Linked DNA regions of Anolis sagrei. The protein of the gene in region 2 interacts with the protein of the main gene of each other region in a pairwise test. Links are inferred from orthologs where the notes say so. Each region holds a gene or a part of one and is shown on either strand. Other genes may lie near its edges.

Evidence for each region.
Region 1: the proteins of KATNAL1 (region 2) and KLC4 interact in binary tests that used the Homo sapiens proteins (3 or more experiments, as listed by UniProt). The two-hybrid records come from large-scale screens. The link is inferred for Anolis sagrei from reciprocal best matches to the Homo sapiens genes KATNAL1 and KLC4.
Region 3: the proteins of KATNAL1 (region 2) and CEP57L1 interact in binary tests that used the Homo sapiens proteins (3 or more experiments, as listed by UniProt). The two-hybrid records come from large-scale screens. The link is inferred for Anolis sagrei from reciprocal best matches to the Homo sapiens genes KATNAL1 and CEP57L1.

The regions. Positions count from the first base shown.
Region 1 is NC_090021.1:25,294,862-25,300,174, forward strand, and holds the start of KLC4 (kinesin light chain 4), read left to right. Parts: upstream 1-2,393; 5' UTR 2,394-2,501; intron 2,502-2,507; exon of another isoform or gene 2,508-2,633; intron 2,634-5,313.
Region 2 is NC_090023.1:32,585,636-32,590,948, reverse strand, and holds the start of KATNAL1 (katanin p60 ATPase-containing subunit A-like 1), read left to right. Parts: upstream 1-1,929; 5' UTR 1,930-2,004; coding exon 2,005-2,023; intron 2,024-4,372; exon of another isoform or gene 4,373-4,657; intron 4,658-5,313. UniProt on the Homo sapiens protein: Regulates microtubule dynamics in Sertoli cells, a process that is essential for spermiogenesis and male fertility. Severs microtubules in an ATP-dependent manner, promoting rapid reorganization of cellular microtubule arrays.
Region 3 is NC_090021.1:93,991,393-93,996,705, reverse strand, and holds the start of CEP57L1 (centrosomal protein CEP57L1), read left to right. Parts: upstream 1-1,627; 5' UTR 1,628-1,680; intron 1,681-1,792; exon of another isoform or gene 1,793-1,835; intron 1,836-4,821; 5' UTR 4,822-4,847; coding exon 4,848-4,880; intron 4,881-5,313. UniProt on the Homo sapiens protein: Centrosomal protein which may be required for microtubule attachment to centrosomes.

The DNA.
Region 1 (5,313 bases), on a different chromosome or scaffold from region 2:
CAAACGAGCTGTCGGAATTTACCCGCAAAGCTGTGTTTGATTCATACTGTTGTGACACCACATTGTTCCTAAGCAGGGCCAGCCCTGGCTGATACTTGGATGGGAGACCACCAACGAATATGGGATTTAAAGGCGCAAACACAAACTTACCTGGGGCTAAAATAAAGACAGCCTTTGCTTGTGAGTGGACGTACAGTTAATTGCAATTAGGCGGGATCTGTATGTGATTGCAACCATGCCCGCCCCCAAGTCACCCTACACACCGCACCGCTTGGACCTTCATTTCTCTTCTGCCTCCCGAAGCCTACTGAGCATGCGCGACCCATTTCTGGGCGGAGCATAAAAACCAAACGCCGGTACGTCTGCCTACAGTGGTTGAAATAGGCTTCCGCGTCTCTTGGACTTCAACTCCCATAAGCCTCCGCTCCCTTAGCATATGATGAGGCATTCTGGGAGTTGAAGTCCCAAAAACCCAAAGCTTGGGAAACACTGGTTTAGACTAAAGGAGTCCTGTGTTTTTGAGAACATAAAGTTAATGCAGCTTGACACCGCTCCAAGAGCCATGTCACAATGCTACAGAACCCTGGGATTTGTAGTTTTAGAACATCTCTAGCCTTTTCTACCAAATGGTGCACCTACACTGTGGAATTAATGAAGTTTGACACCACTTGAACTGTCATGGCTCAATGCTATGGAATTTTGAGATTTGCAGTCCAAGAATGCTGGTGCTTCACCAAACTGCAGCTCCCCAGGATCCCATAACTTTAAGCCATAGTGTGAAAATGCATTCATTCTACAGTGTACTACAGGCATGGGCAAACTTCAGCCCTCCATTTGTTTTTGACTTCAACTCCCACAAATCCTAACAGCCTACAACTTAAAATATACAAATATACAATAATAAAACGGTATATCATAATATATTAGTATTACTTTACTACAATATTATTATTATATCGTATTATTATTAGTATTATAGTGTATTACATTATATTATCATGTAATACAAGAGACTTAAAAAACCAAAAAATAAAAAAATACATTACAATGCATGCACAAAACCACACACACACACATATATATGCAAACACACATATATACACAAATATATACATGCACATATACACAAATACGCACACAAAACACATATAGACAGACTGGGTCACAGTAACGCGTGGCAGGGGATGGCTAGTATAATATATTATATACTAGCCATCCCCTGCCACGCGTTGCTGTGGCCCAGTCTGGTGATCTGGAAAATAAAGTAATGGTTTCTAATCTATGTAATTTCTTTATGCATGTGGGTAAACAACATTTCTTGCTGTTTCTTTGTCAGTGTTGATGTGGAGAGTATCTGGTCTGCCTATTCTGGAATATGCAACATATCATTGTCCTTCTTTAGGGTTCCTTTCAAACCTATGATATTATATCTGTGCGTGTGTGAATCATATATATCTATCTATGGCTGGATGGCTCTTTGTCAGGAGGGCTTTGTTTACGTTTTCTTGCCCTGGTGAAGAGAGTTGGACTGGATGGCCTGAAGTATTTTCTGTTGGTCATGAGGGTTCTGTGTGGGAAATTTGCCCCAATTCTGTCATTGGTGGGGTTCAGAATGCTCTTTGATTGTAGGTGAACTATGTATCCCAGCAACTACAACTCCCAAATGTCAAGGTCTATTTTCCCCAAACTCCATCTGTGTTTGGGCATATGGAATATTTGTGCCAAGTTTGGTCCAGATCCATCATTGTTTGAGTCCACAGTGCCCTCTGGATGTAGGTGAACTACAACTCCCAAACTCAAAGTCAATGCCCACCAAACCCTTCTAGTGTTTTCTGTTGGTCATAGGAGTCCTGTGTGTCACCTTTGGTTCAATTCCATCATTAGTGGAATTCAGAATGCTCTTTGATTGTAGGTGAACTATAAATCCGGGCAACTACAACTCCCAAAGGACAAAATCATTTTTTTTTTTAGTGAAGGACATACATTGGGTGGTTAGGTGTACGCTGTCCAAATTTGGTGTCAATTCATCCAGTTGTTTTTGAGTTCTGTTAATCCCACAAAAGAACATTACATTTTTATTTATATAGATCATAAGTTGTATTATATATGATATATATTACATTGTTAATATTATGTATTGTTACATTACAATCTTATTATTTCTATATATTATAATATATATATTGCATATCTATAGAGAGAGAGAGAGAGTAGATGCATCCTTAGCGTCCTTAAGGGAACTTGACACCTCACCAAAGCGCCCCGCCCCCTTTTGGCCAGGCTGACCTAGATGCATTCTGGGATTCGTCCAATCAGGGCGCGGCCGCCATGTTGGGTTTAAAGCGGCTGCGACGCGATGTGGGCGGGGCTTCGATGACGTTTGTTTTTCTCTTCGCCGGGGAAGGGCCGGGAGGAGAGAGTGGGTGCTGAGGGCGCATGCGCAGTCGCTCATCCATTCCCGCGAGCTGGTTCTTCCTGAAGGAATCAAGGCGAAGCGGCGGGTACGTGTTTGCTCTCCTTTTCTCCCCTCAGAGGCACGGCGGCCGGCCTCCGTCTCCTTCTCTCAGGCCAGGAAGGGCCTGGTTGCCTTGACAACGGGGCCTAGCTACTCTCAGGGTGGTCCTGGCAAGGAGGTAGGCCTCTTCACAGGTAGAGGGATGGGGGGACCGTTATTAAAGGGAGGCAGGCTGAGGGGAAAGCAGGGACGCTTTTGGATAGCCCATTCCCAGGCCCTGCTATCTCAGTGGCACTCTTCGTATGCTCAGGGGTAGTGTTGCCATTCTGCTGTGTGATGGCTGAGAATCAGTGCTGCTGTGAGTGATATTTGACGCTATAATCAATGCTCTTATGGGAGGCCTTTTAAAGGTTCTTGTGGGTTTTTTCGGGCTATAGGGCCATGTTCTAGAGGCATTTCTCCTGACGTTTCGCCTGCATCTATGGCAAGCATCCTCAGAGGTAGTGAGGTCTGTTGGAAATAGGACAAAGGGTTTATATATCTGTGGAATGACTGGGGTGGGGCAAAGAACTCTTGTCTGTTGGAGCTAGCTGTGAATGTTTCAACTGACCACCTTGAGTAGCATTTGATGGCCAGGCAGGGCCTGGGGCAATCTTTTGTTGAGAGGTGATTAGATGTCCTTGTTTGTTTCCTCTCTGTTGTTTTGCTGTTGTAATTTTAGAGTTTTTTAATACTGGTTGTTCATTTTCATGGTCTCCTCCTTTCTGTTGAAATTGTCCACATGCTTGTGGATTTCAATGGCTTCTCTGTGTAGTCTGACATGGTGGTTGTTGGTGTGGTCCAGCATTTCTGTGTTCTCAAATAATATGCTGTGTCCAGGCTGGTTCATCAGGTGCTCTGCTATGGCTGACTTCTCTGGTTGAAGTAGTCTGCAGTGCCTTTTAAATATTGCATCATTTCCATCTGTGGTCAGCCATCCCTTGGTAGTGACATGAATTTTAACATTGTTGTGCTTGTTTTAACGGTTGTAACATTTAATTCTATTTAATATTGATATTTTGTAGGGGTTTTTAGAATTGTGTATGTATTTAAAGCTCTGAGCCACTTTGGGGCTCCATCTGCACTGCCATATAATGCAGTTTCGAAGTGGGAATATAGCATGATAGAAAAGAAAATAATAATAATAATAATGGTAATGATGCTCTATTTAATGCTCTTATACTGTAGACATTTTTTTAATGCCATGTTATTTCCATTCAGGATGAGTCATGTGTGACGCTGAGTGTGCGCACACACAACATTGAAACAATAAAGTTAAAGTCCAATGTCAAAAGCCACATCCAAAAATAAAAGCCATATCCGGTAAAGCAGTCCTTATTTAACATGCTAGACATTAGGCTCTTCATATGCTTGAGAGCATTGGTGAGTTTTTAATAGCTTTCTGTATTTTCTGTATTTTATTTTATTTTATTATGTGTATTGCTGGCATCAAATTGTGCCTTTTTGTAAGCCGCCCTGAGTCTCCCTTCGGGGGTGAGAAGAGCGGGATAGAAGTGCTCGAAATAAATAATAAATTTCTGAAAGAGGACAATGAAGGGGCCATTCTAATTTCCTTTGGGAGAGATCCAGAGGCGAGGCAACTGCAGAGATGATGATGTTGATGTTGTATTTAATCTCTTATGGGAAGTCTTTTGATGCCGTGTTATTTCCATATGGCATGAGCCATGTGTTGTTCTGAGTGCGCTGACAGGAATTGCTTTTAAATATTGTTTTTTATTTGTACCCCACTTTATCTCCCCAAAGAGAACTCAAAGCAGCTTGACATAAAAGCATTAGTATACCATTCAAGGAGCCTCGGGTGGTACAGCAGGTTAAACCACTGAGCTACAGAACTTTCTGACCAAAAGCTGAGCTCCCGCTGTTAGTCCTAGCTTCTGTCAACCTAGCAGTTCTTAAACATGCAGATGTGAGTAAATCAATAGGTATCACTCCTACAGGACAGCACTCCATGCAGTCCTGCTAGCCATATGACCTTGGAGGTATCTACGGATAACACCAGCTCGTTGGCTTAGAAATGGAGATGAGCACCACCCCCCAGAGTCGGACATCACTAGACTTAATGTCAAGGAGAAATCTTTGCTTTTACTATACTATTTAAAATATGCAAACACTAAAACACAAGCAGCACTAAAAAAATTAGTTAAAATCCATCAAAATATATTTACAGCTAAAGACCACAGCACATTTAACATTTTTCTTTGTTTTAATGGTTATAATTTTTTTTTTATTTTCAAGTGTATATATATATTGGGGATGCATTTAAATTGTACAGGCTTTTTAAGGCTGTGAGCTGGTTTGGGTTCCACAACTGGGAGAAAAAAATGAGGTACAAATCAACATAATAAAGAAGATGATGTTGCTGAAGATAAGTGCCAGGGCTAAGAAGACCGAGGCCCCGTCCACACAGCTGAATAAAATCCCACATTTTCTGCTTTGAACTGGAATATATGGAAGTGTCAGATAACCCAGTTCAAAGCAGATATTGCGGGATTTTCTGCCTTGATATTCTGGGCTATATAGCTGTGTGGAAGGGCCCTGGGTTAAAATTTAGCTCTGAAGGCACATCTTGTGTCAGGTTTTCTTCCTCACCACAAATTGCTGTGGTCAGCTGCTCATCCATGACTCAGTGGCTTAGGAAGGGCTTTGGAGAAAGAATAATCAACCTATATTGGCCTATGGCATTAACTTTGCTCTCCAGGCACAGTGCTCCAGGCTAATATAGGTTGACTAGTCCCTTCTTCAAAATGCTTGGAACCAGAAATGTTTGGGATTTTGGGTTTTTGTCAGATTCTGGAGGA
Region 2 (5,313 bases):
AGGTTCACAGCAGCCTGGGAGGAGCTAAAAAGGGGATTTTTCCTTTGAGCAAAGTTTTTGAAGATAGTGCCTGTTTCCTTTAAACAAGATTGCAAGACCTAATAGTCTGTTAAGAAAGCTTACAATTCCTGTTTGTTCATTAATAAAGAACTGTTATATTTAAGCTCAAGCCTCAAAAAGACTGCTTAGTAAGGGGGATTTTCCTAAAGGCTTCTTTTCTGGGCCCCTGGCTTCCCGCTGGATGCAAGCCTAACATCCTCTCTTAAAAGCACCTCATTTCGGCTCCAGCGGTGACAGAACAATAGTGTAGGTCGCGACACATTAGTGTGTCCGCTGCAGTGCGTAACAGGAAATGACACAAGATTAAAAATTATATGTGTGTGTATGAGAAAGATTTCCATGAGATATGTTGCATTCCTATACATTTCGTTATTACAAATTGGGCCCAGGCCTGGTCTAGACTTTAGAATTTATTTATTTATTTTACTATATTTGTATACCGTCCTTCTCAGCCCTTAGGCGACTCAGGGCAGTTTACAATGGCAACGATTCAATGCCTAAAAACACCATAAAGGTAAAGGTAGTCCCCTGACATTAAGTCTAGTCATGTCTGACTCTGGGGTGTGGTGCTCATCTCCATTTCTAAGCCGAAGAGCCAGCGTTGTCCGCAGACACCTCCAAGGTCATGTGGTCATATAAACTTGGATGTTTGAACAGGCATTCGGTTAAACAGTGCAATGAATGTGATGATTACAGGAATGGAAATTTGGACGACAGATTGGATCACGACTCCAGTTATGAGATGTATTGTGTTGTCTAGGGTTGTGTCAATATTGTATATTATGCTTTTATGGTTTTAAATTGTATATCGTTGATTGTTTTTTATCCTTGTTGTAAACCGTGTTGAGTCGCCTGTTGGGCTGAGAAACTGCGGTATACAAGTAAAGTAAAGTAAATAAATAAATAAATGACTGCATGGAGCACCGTTACCTTCCCGCCAGAGCGGTTCCTATTGATCTACTTACATTTGCATGTTTTCGAACTGCTAGGTTGGCAGAAGCTAGGGCTGACAGCGGAAGCTCACGCTGCTCCCCGGAATCGAAGCTGCGACCTTTCAATCAACAAGCTCAGCAGCTCAGTGTTTTAACCCACTGCGCCACCGGGGGCTCCTTAAAAACACCACAAAACATATAAAAACATTAACACATAATATAAAACCATAGTAAGAATACTATAAGCATTCAATTAATGCACTTTGGTCCCACTTTATGAGCTAATTGTTTTACAATATGCTATGATTTTGTATATTTATGACTATGATTCTGTGATTTATTGGAGAGCCCAGCCAGCCATGTTATCTTCCTGAGGAGAACCTTCTCCAAAGGCCACCAAAGCAGACTGAGACGGTTTGGATCAGGCAGTGGGTGGAGCTACAGGGGGCGGAGCCACAGACGCTCTCGCCCCTCCCTTCGCTGTCTCCATGGTAACCAATCGCCGCCACTGCCCTTCGCTCCCACCAAAGACCCAACGCCTCGGCTACCGCGAGTGCGCATGCGCCCGCGCCCACCAGCTCTCCTAAAGGGGAGGCTGCACCAACCGATAGGCCCACCGCTCTTCCATTCATTGCTTTCTCCCCCCTCCACTTTTTCCCTCTTTTTCTTTTTTATTCGCTCGAGTCGGGATGATGTCCAACGACAACCTTCTCCCGTCACCAGGAATCATCCTTAAAAAAAGACGTCCCTCCTGATTCAAAGTAAGTCCTTATATATATAAATAGAGGGCCGGGAATGGGGGAGAAAGATCTCCCCCTTAACGTTTTGTCGCAAAGCAGGATGGGAGTCGTAGTCTTAGCGGCAACTGCTTTGTACGATCGCCTGTGGAACCGCGGGCCTCCGAGAAACTACAAAACCCAGAAAGCTTTGCGGGAAGATAATCAGATTCATTTTGGCTCTTACACCTTGAGGCCTGCCCTCCCCCCGTTTATCCTAATAGAATGGCTGGCCAATGGGAGGCCCTCTGGCAGGTAACCGTTATTTGTAGGAAAGGGCAGAGGGAGGGGTGGCTGGTGTTTGGAAAGGCACCCGAATAACGGTGATGGGGAAGCCCCGCCCCACTGTGATTGACAATTCGTTCTGCCAATGACAGTGGCTGATTATTTGGGGCTATATGCCAAGGTGTGCCAAGTATGTAGAGAGGATATAGACCAGACCTGGGACAGCTTGAGCCCTCCAGGTGTTTTGGACTTCAATTCCCACCATTCCTAACAGCCTCAGGCCCCTTCCTTTTCCCCCTCGGCTGCTTAAGCGGCCGAGGGGGAAAAGGAAAAGGCCTGAGGCTGTTAGGAATGGTGGGAATTGAAGTCCAAAACACCTGGAGGGCCAAAATTGGCCCAGGCCTGATATAGACTAAAAGGTGGCATAGAGTAAGGCAGGAATTAGATGCAAACAGAGGCTGCCAAATAGATGACAGGAGATTGAAGGGTTTCTTACATACTATATATAGGTCTTCCTTTGAAATATTGTTACCTGGGGCCGACAAATACAAGGCTGGGGTAAAAATTGCTGGGAGAAACATTAACAAGCTTAAATATGCAGATGATACCACTTTGATGGCCGAAAGCGAGGAGGAGCTTTCTAATCAAGAAGAAAGTGCAGAAGCTGAGTTGCAGTTAAACATAAAAAAAACCCCCAGGATTATGACAACAAGACTGATTGATAACTGGCAAATACAGGGAGAAAATGTGGAGGCAGTATTTATTTATTTATTTATTTATTTATCGTGTCAGGCAGCCGAGCAGTTGTACTACATTTTTGACAGAACAAACAAACAAACAAACATACAAAAGACACAGAGTTTGCAAGCTTGGCAGTTGATTGACTGTCCTTTGACCAGTATTTGGCCACTTGGTGTGCCTCTGGTGTTGCCGCAAGAAGATCCTCCATTGTGCATGTAGCAGGGCTCAGGTTGCATTGCAGCAGGTGGTCTGTAGTTTGCTCTTCTCCACACTCGCATGTTGTGGATTCCACTTTGTCACCCCATTTCTTAAGGTTGGCTCTGCATCTTATGGTGCCAGAGTGTAGTCTGTTCAGTAGTTTGTTCAGTGGAGGCAGTGACAAGCTTTTTATTTCTAGGTGCAAAGATTACTGCAGATGCGGACTGCAGCCAGGAAATCAGAAGATGCTTACTTCTTGGGAGGAGAGCAATGACCAATCTTGATAAAATAGTGAAGAGTAGAGAGATCACACTGGCAACAACGATCTGCATAGTAAAAGCAATGGTATTCCTCGTAGTAACCTACGGATGTGAGAGCTGGATGATAAGGAAGGCTGAGCAAAGGAAGATAAATGCTTTTGAACTGTGGTGTTGTAGGAATGTTCCGTGAGTGCCTTGGACCGTGAGAAGATCAAACCAGTCCATATTCCAGAAAATAATGCCTAACTGCTCACTGGAGAGAAGGATAGTAGAGGCAAAGTATTTTGGCCACATAATGAGAAGACAGGAAAGCTTGGAGAAGACAATGATGCTGGGGAAAATGGAAGGAAAGAGGCCAACCAAAGGCAAGATGGATGGATGGTATCCTTGAAGAGACTGGCTTGACCTTGAAGGAGCTGGGGGTGGTGATGGTCGATGGAGCTCTGGCGTGGGCTGGTCCATGAGGTCACGAAGAGTCGGAAGCGACTGAAAAATGAACAACAACAAGGAAACTCACTACAAGGGCTTTACACGTTGTGTAGTTTTATTGACTTTGATATTTTGTCAGTCTAACATCATTAGGAAGGGAATTCCATAGATGAGGAGCCACCATTGAGAAGGGTTTATTCTTTTTAATCTGTCTGGCAAGCCTGAGCTCATTTCACAACTTAGCCTTACAATCCTTTCCCGTACATATGTTGGTCATTTGTTTGAATTCCTCTATGGTGATTTTCCCCTTTTCCATTTCTTATGCATGTCTCTTAAATCTTAACTCAGTTAAAAGTTCTTTGGACATCCATTCTGGTTGCTTTACACTTCTCTTATTTTTTCTCCTTGCTGGCATTGTTTGCAACTATGCTTTCAGTATTTCACTTTTTAAAAACCTCCCATCCACCATTTGCTCTCTTCTCTTCTAGTATTCCTGTCCATGCTCAATATTTCCTTAAATTTCCTGAAGTCAGCTCTCCTAAAGTCTGGAATACTTTATGCATGGCTTTGCTGATACTTGTTGCATGATCATGGATCCAAGGCAGGTTTCTGAGTATTAATGCCTGATTTTATTATGATGTTCTTTTATGCTGTTCTCATTCATTGTGTTGATACGTTTTTATGATAGTCAACTAACACTCAATCATTAATGACGTTGCATTCATAACCTTGACTCAGTCATCAATCCACATAGAAACTGCAGTCAAGACATCAGAAGAATAACTGGAAGGGCAACTATGAAGAAACTAGATAAGACCCTCAAGAGGACAATGAAGTAAAGCAACCCATTTGAAATGTGGTGCTGGAGGAGAGTTCTAACCCTCACCGTAAGCCTGTCAAAAAGACAAATAGATGAGCCTGAGAGCAAATCAAGTTGGAACTCTTTATTACAGGCCAAAATGACTAATCCAAACCTACTTCATTTTGGATATACAAAAAACCCTGGAGAAGACAATAATACTTGGTAAAGCTGAAGGTAATAGGAAAAACGAAATGCTGTATTTCTGTTTTATTGGCTATTCTAAAGCTTTTAACTGAATGGATCATAATAAATTGTGGCAAGAACTTGGTGGTAAGGGGATACCAAGTCACCTTGTCAATCTTCTGAGGAATCTGTATAATGACCAAGTAGCAACAGTAAGAACAGACCACGGAACAACAGACTGGTTCACTATTGGGAAAGGAGTACAGAAGGACTGTATACTCTCATCCTACCTATTCAACTTGTATGCAAATCTGGGGAGAAGCGGATGAGCTCCCTCTATCAGCTCCAGCTCCACATGCGGGGACATGAGAGAAGCCTCCCACAAGGATGATTAAAACATCAAATCATCTGGGCGTCCCCTGGGCAACGTCCTTGCAGGTGGCCAATTCTCTCACACCAGAAGCGACTTGCAGTTTCTCAAGTCACTCCTGACACACACACACACACAAAAACTTGTATGCAGAACACATCATGCAATATGTAGGGCTTGATGAATCCAAGACAGGAGTTAAAATTGCTGGAAGAGACATTAATAAACTTAGATATGCAGATGATACCACTTTGATGGCTGAAAGCGAGGAGGAGCTGAGGAGCTTTATAAACAAGGTGAAAGAAGTGCAAAAGCTGGGTTGCAGTTAAACATCAAA
Region 3 (5,313 bases), on a different chromosome or scaffold from region 2:
AATAAAAGGCAATTTGAAAACATATACATTAAAAAACAAGGAACAACAGTACAGCTCCACACCATTAAAATAGACTTCCTCATAAAAAGTTCCCAAAGGCTTGTAGACATTTTTAAACATGAATTTTAAAAAATGTTAAAACTTCCAAAATATACATTTTAAATCCTTCTTAACCATACTAGTACCTCCAGGAAGGAAAGTCCAGATCTCCCTTGGTGTTCCAGAGTCTAAACTAAGGGAACATCTACACCAGCATGGGCAAACTTGGGTCCTCCAAGTGTTTTGGATTTCAACTCCCACAATTCCTAACAGCTGTTAGGAATTGTGGGAGTTGAAGTCCAAAACACCTGGAGGATCTGTTTGCCCATGCCTGATTTACACAGCAGAATTAATGCAGCTTGGTATGACTTTGACTGACATGGAACAGTGCTATGAGATCCTGGAAGCTGTAGTTTGGCATGGTCTTCAACCCCCTCTGCCAAAGAGGGCTGGTGCTCAACAAAACTACAAATCCCATGATCTCATAGCATTGAGCCATGTCAGTTAAAGTGGTGTCGAACTACACCTTTGGTCCCCTAGGTGTTTTGGACTTCAGCTCCCAGAAATCCCAGCCAGTTTTCCAGCTGTTAGGAATTGTGGGAGCTGAAGGGCCCAAGTTTGCCCATGCCTGATCTACACAGCAGAATTAATACGGTTTAGTATGACTTTGACTGACATGGCCCAGTGCTGTGAGATCCTGGAAGCTGTAGTTTGGTAAGGTCTTCAGCCCTTCTGCCTAAGAGGGCTGGTGGTCAACAAAACTACAGATCCCATTGAGCCATGTCAGTTAAAATGGTGTCAAACTACACCAGTGGTTCCCAACCTTTGGTCCCCCAGGTGTTTTGAACTTCAACTCCCAGAAATCCCAGTCAGTTTGCCAGCTGTTAGGAATTGTGGGAGTTGAAGTCCAAAACACCTGGAAGGCCCAAGTTTGCCCATGCCTGATCTACACAGCAGAATTAATACAGTTTTGTATTACTTTGACTGACATGACCCAGCGCTGTGAGATCCTGGAAGCTGTAGTTTGGCAAGGTCTTCAGCCCCCTCTACCTAAGAGGGCTGGTGCTCAACAAAACTACAGATCCCATGACCCCACAACATTGAGCATGTCAGTTAAAATGGTGTCGAACTACACCAGTGGTTCCTAACCTTTGGTCCCCTAGGTGTTTTGGACTTCAGCTCCCAGAAATCCCAGCCAGTTTGCCAGCTGTTAAGAATTGTGGGAGTTGAAGTCCAAAACACCTGGAGGACCAAAGGCTGGGAACTACTGAACTACACTAATTCAAGAGTGTAGAAAGATGCACCCTTTGCATGCATGTTTGGGTGGTTTGCTGAAAGATACAAGCCGAAATGTGGAAACCAGGTTTGCCTGCTAGTGCAATGAACAGGGAATGTACATTTTATAGAGTAACCTGGCAGCCAATCTATAGATCTCACTCATCTGATGTAGAGGATCTGAAAAGAGAGGGAGGAGAAGAGGAAAGGTTCTTTCGGGCGGAAGTTGGCTGGGCGGCTTCAAGGAGGCGGGTCTATTTCCGGGTCACAGGTGAGGCGGGGAAGGCGGGGCGGGAGCCTGGGAGAGCGGGAGGGGAGGCGGTCTCTTTAAAAACGGCCCAGGAAAAGAAAGGACAACAAGCTGCAGTAAGTCGGGCGCATCCTAAAGGCTCATTTGGGGGCATGGAGGCTGGCTGGGGATTAATAACACATTTCTCTAAGTCTCTCTTCTATCCCTCAGGTGGGAATCCCTCCTTCGCTTGGTCCTGCTCAAAGAAGTATCACTATGGGTCTATTCCAGTGTAAGAAGGGGGCAAAGGGAAGAAACACGTGGCAGCACCTTTAAGACTCAATGTCCTTTTTTATTCCCGGGATCTGATCCCAGATTATCTGGGAGTGTAGACTCATATAATCCAGTTCAAAGCAGATCATCTTAATTAATGTAGTGCAATATAATACTAATAATAATATGATATAATAATTATATATTTATATTACATGTAATATTACTAATAATATTACAGTATAATAGTATAGTACAAATAGTAATACTTAAATCTGATATGTATATATATCTTGTAAGCCGCTCTGAGTCCCCTTCAGAGTGAGAAGGATGGCATATAAATGTCGTAAATAAATAAATATAGGGCAGTGCAGATCCAGCCTCCGATCTTAATCCACTGCTTTGGATATTGTTATCAATTGCTATCAAGTTAGCATGGCGACCCTCAGGAATGAGATGTGGCCAAGGTTGCTGCTGCACTGTAGAATTAATGCAGTTTGGAACCAGATCCAGCTTCAAGGAAACTTTGGTCCTTCTAGGCAGGCCCTGTATACCAGGATGTGATCCCAGGTTTTCTGTTTATCCCAGATTATCTGGCAATGCAGACTCATATAATCCAGTTTAAAGCAGAAAACCAAGGATCAGATCCTGGGATAAAGGATCTGTCTGGAAGGGCCCTTTGGTGCAACCGATCAGTTGTATTTCTCATGTAAACACACTATGCAACTAATTAATTTCCCTCCTCCAGTGCTTAAGTCCCAGTGTAAATGTGCCCCAGTTGCCCAGACTCAATAAAGAAAGCCATGGCTCTACATTTGCAAGACTTGGGTGCCTCTGTGACCCCTTCAACACAGCTGAATAAAATCCCACATTATCTGCTTTGAACTGGAATATATGGCAGTGTGGACTCAGGGCCCTTCCCCACAGCCCTATATCCCAGAATATTAAGACAGAAAACCCCACAATATCCGCTTTGAACTGGGTTATCTGAGTCCACACTCAGATAATGTGGGATTTTCTGCCTTGATATTCTGGAATATAGGGCTGTGGGGAAGGGCCCCATATTTTAGAATGAATGCAGTTTGATCCCACTTTAACTGCCATGGCTCAATGCTATGGGATCCTGGGAGATAAGATGCCGCTTTATAAGGCCTTTAGCCTTCTCTGCCAAAGAGTTCTGGTGCCTCACTAAACTACAGCTCCCAAGATTCCACAGACATGGCAGTTAAAGTGGTCCCTGTAGTTATGGCCCTGGAATGCACTCTTCCTCTTTTTAGATTGCCTTCTACCTTATCAAGCATTATTGTTTTTTCTAGTGAGTCCCATCTTTCCATTATGTGTCCAAAGTAGGATAGTCTCAATTTAGTCTCAGTTGAGCCCCCGGTGGCACAATGGGTTAAAACCCTTGTGCCAGCAGGACTGCTGACCGAAAGGTTGGTGGTTCGAATCTGAGGAGCGGGGGTGAGCTCCCATCCGTTAGCTCCAGCTTCTCATGTGGGGACATGAGAGAAACCTCCCATAGGATGGTAAACATCTGGGGCATCCCCTGGGCAACGTCTTTGCTGACGGCCAATTCTCTCATACCAGAAGCGACTTGCAATGTCTCAAGTCACTCCTGACATGAAAAAAATAGGTATCTTGGCTTCTAGGGAAAAGTCCATTTGTCTATCTTTTTAGCAGTCCACAGTGTTTGTAGAACTCTCCTCTAGAACCACATTTCAAATGAGTTGGTTTCCTTCCTGTCAGTTTTCTTCACTGTCCAGCTTTCTTTCACAATAATTGGAAATGCAATGGCATATATAATCCTAATTTTAGTCTCCAATGATATATCTTTACATCTCAGGATCTTGACTGGTTCTTTCATAGTTGCCCTTCCAATATATAGTCTTCTGATTTGATTGCAGTCTACCTTCTGGTGAACAACAAGGCAAATCTTGAAATCTTTGAGTGTCCTTATCATCCACTTTAAAGTTAAGAGGAATAATAAATGTTCCGGTATAAAGCATATTTGCACAATTGTGCATCCCATACAGTAAACCTAAATAAGAAACCCTGGCATTCATCACTGGGGGTTCCAAGTTAAATTCGGCTGCAGAGGCAAAATGGCAAAGGAAAGGACAAAGATATCATGAACTAATGCTCACATTTATTTGCTCAACACATGACTTTTAAAATTTAAAGGGTTTGCTCTGGCTTGATTTTTTTTTTACTGGGTTGAAGATACATGTTGCATACTCCAGTCCTGTAACAGAGAAATTTGCTACAATGACACGGTGTACTACTTTTTTGCTTCCCTATTGATGTTGTATAAACAGAGGGATCAACGCTTGGTTTGTCTGAGTTTCAGTATGAAGCATATTTGTTTAGATATGTTGGGTCAACATTAATACAAATAGTAAAAGCATAGGTTCTGTGCCTCTGCCTGATGGTGATCCAGAAAAGGTGAAAACCAACATTTTTCTCTAATTAATTTTCGTCCCCTCTTGACTGATTTTTTTTAAATTTCCCATAAATACACACATGGTTCTTGCTGAAATGATGGATTCTGGTTTTATTGTTTCTTAATAAATGCTGATTTTATACAAATGTGTTATCAAAGGCTTTCATGGCCGGAATCACTGGGTTGTTGTGAGGTTTCTGGGCTGTATGGCCATGTTCCAGAAGCATTCACTTCTGATGTTTCATGCACATATATGGCCGGCATCCTCAGAGGTTGTGAGGTCTGTTGGAAACTAGTCAAGGGAGGTTTATATATCTGTTGAAGGTCCAGGTTGGGAGAAAGAACTCTTGTCTGTTGGAGGTAAGTGTGAATGTTGCAATTGATCACCTTGATTAGCATTGCAAAGTCTTGCAGCTTCAAGGCCTGGGTGATTCCTGCCTGGAGGAATCCTTTGTTGGGAGGTGTTTAGTGCCTCAGTTTGATATCTTAAATGGAAGAAAATAAATATTAATCATTGACAAAATATTATTCTTCCAAATCAAGACTGCTCCTTTTATCTTCTCAGGAGAGTGGGGCGCTGGGTCCTCTGTTATGGAGGTGAGTAACACAACTTCAGCAGACCAGGTAACTGTCTATTCTAAAACAGTATCTTAAGAAGTAAAAATGTTTAAAGCTTTTTATAGTTAGGAGAAAAAGGCATTTAGAATTATTGTGCTGCAGAGACTGTTTTTATGGTTAACCTTGCAACTGTATTAACCTGTTTCATTTAAAAATAATCTTTGGGAATCTTAAGGGGTGATTCTTTTGTACTGAAGTGAGGCCACTTTCATTTATACTGTTTAACAGATAGAACAGAAAGTGGTAGTTAAAGTCTCATTTGTTGAATAGCATGATATTAATACATGGAGTTTTCATTGAGGTTGGGTAGATGTAATAAGTCTGGTCTTTCTTCTTTGTAACTCGAGATACCAAAGATTTATGCATTCTGGTTTTTTTTTTCTCACAGTGCTGTTTAAAAACTCAGTCCTAATACTGCAAACAACTATAATTACAATAC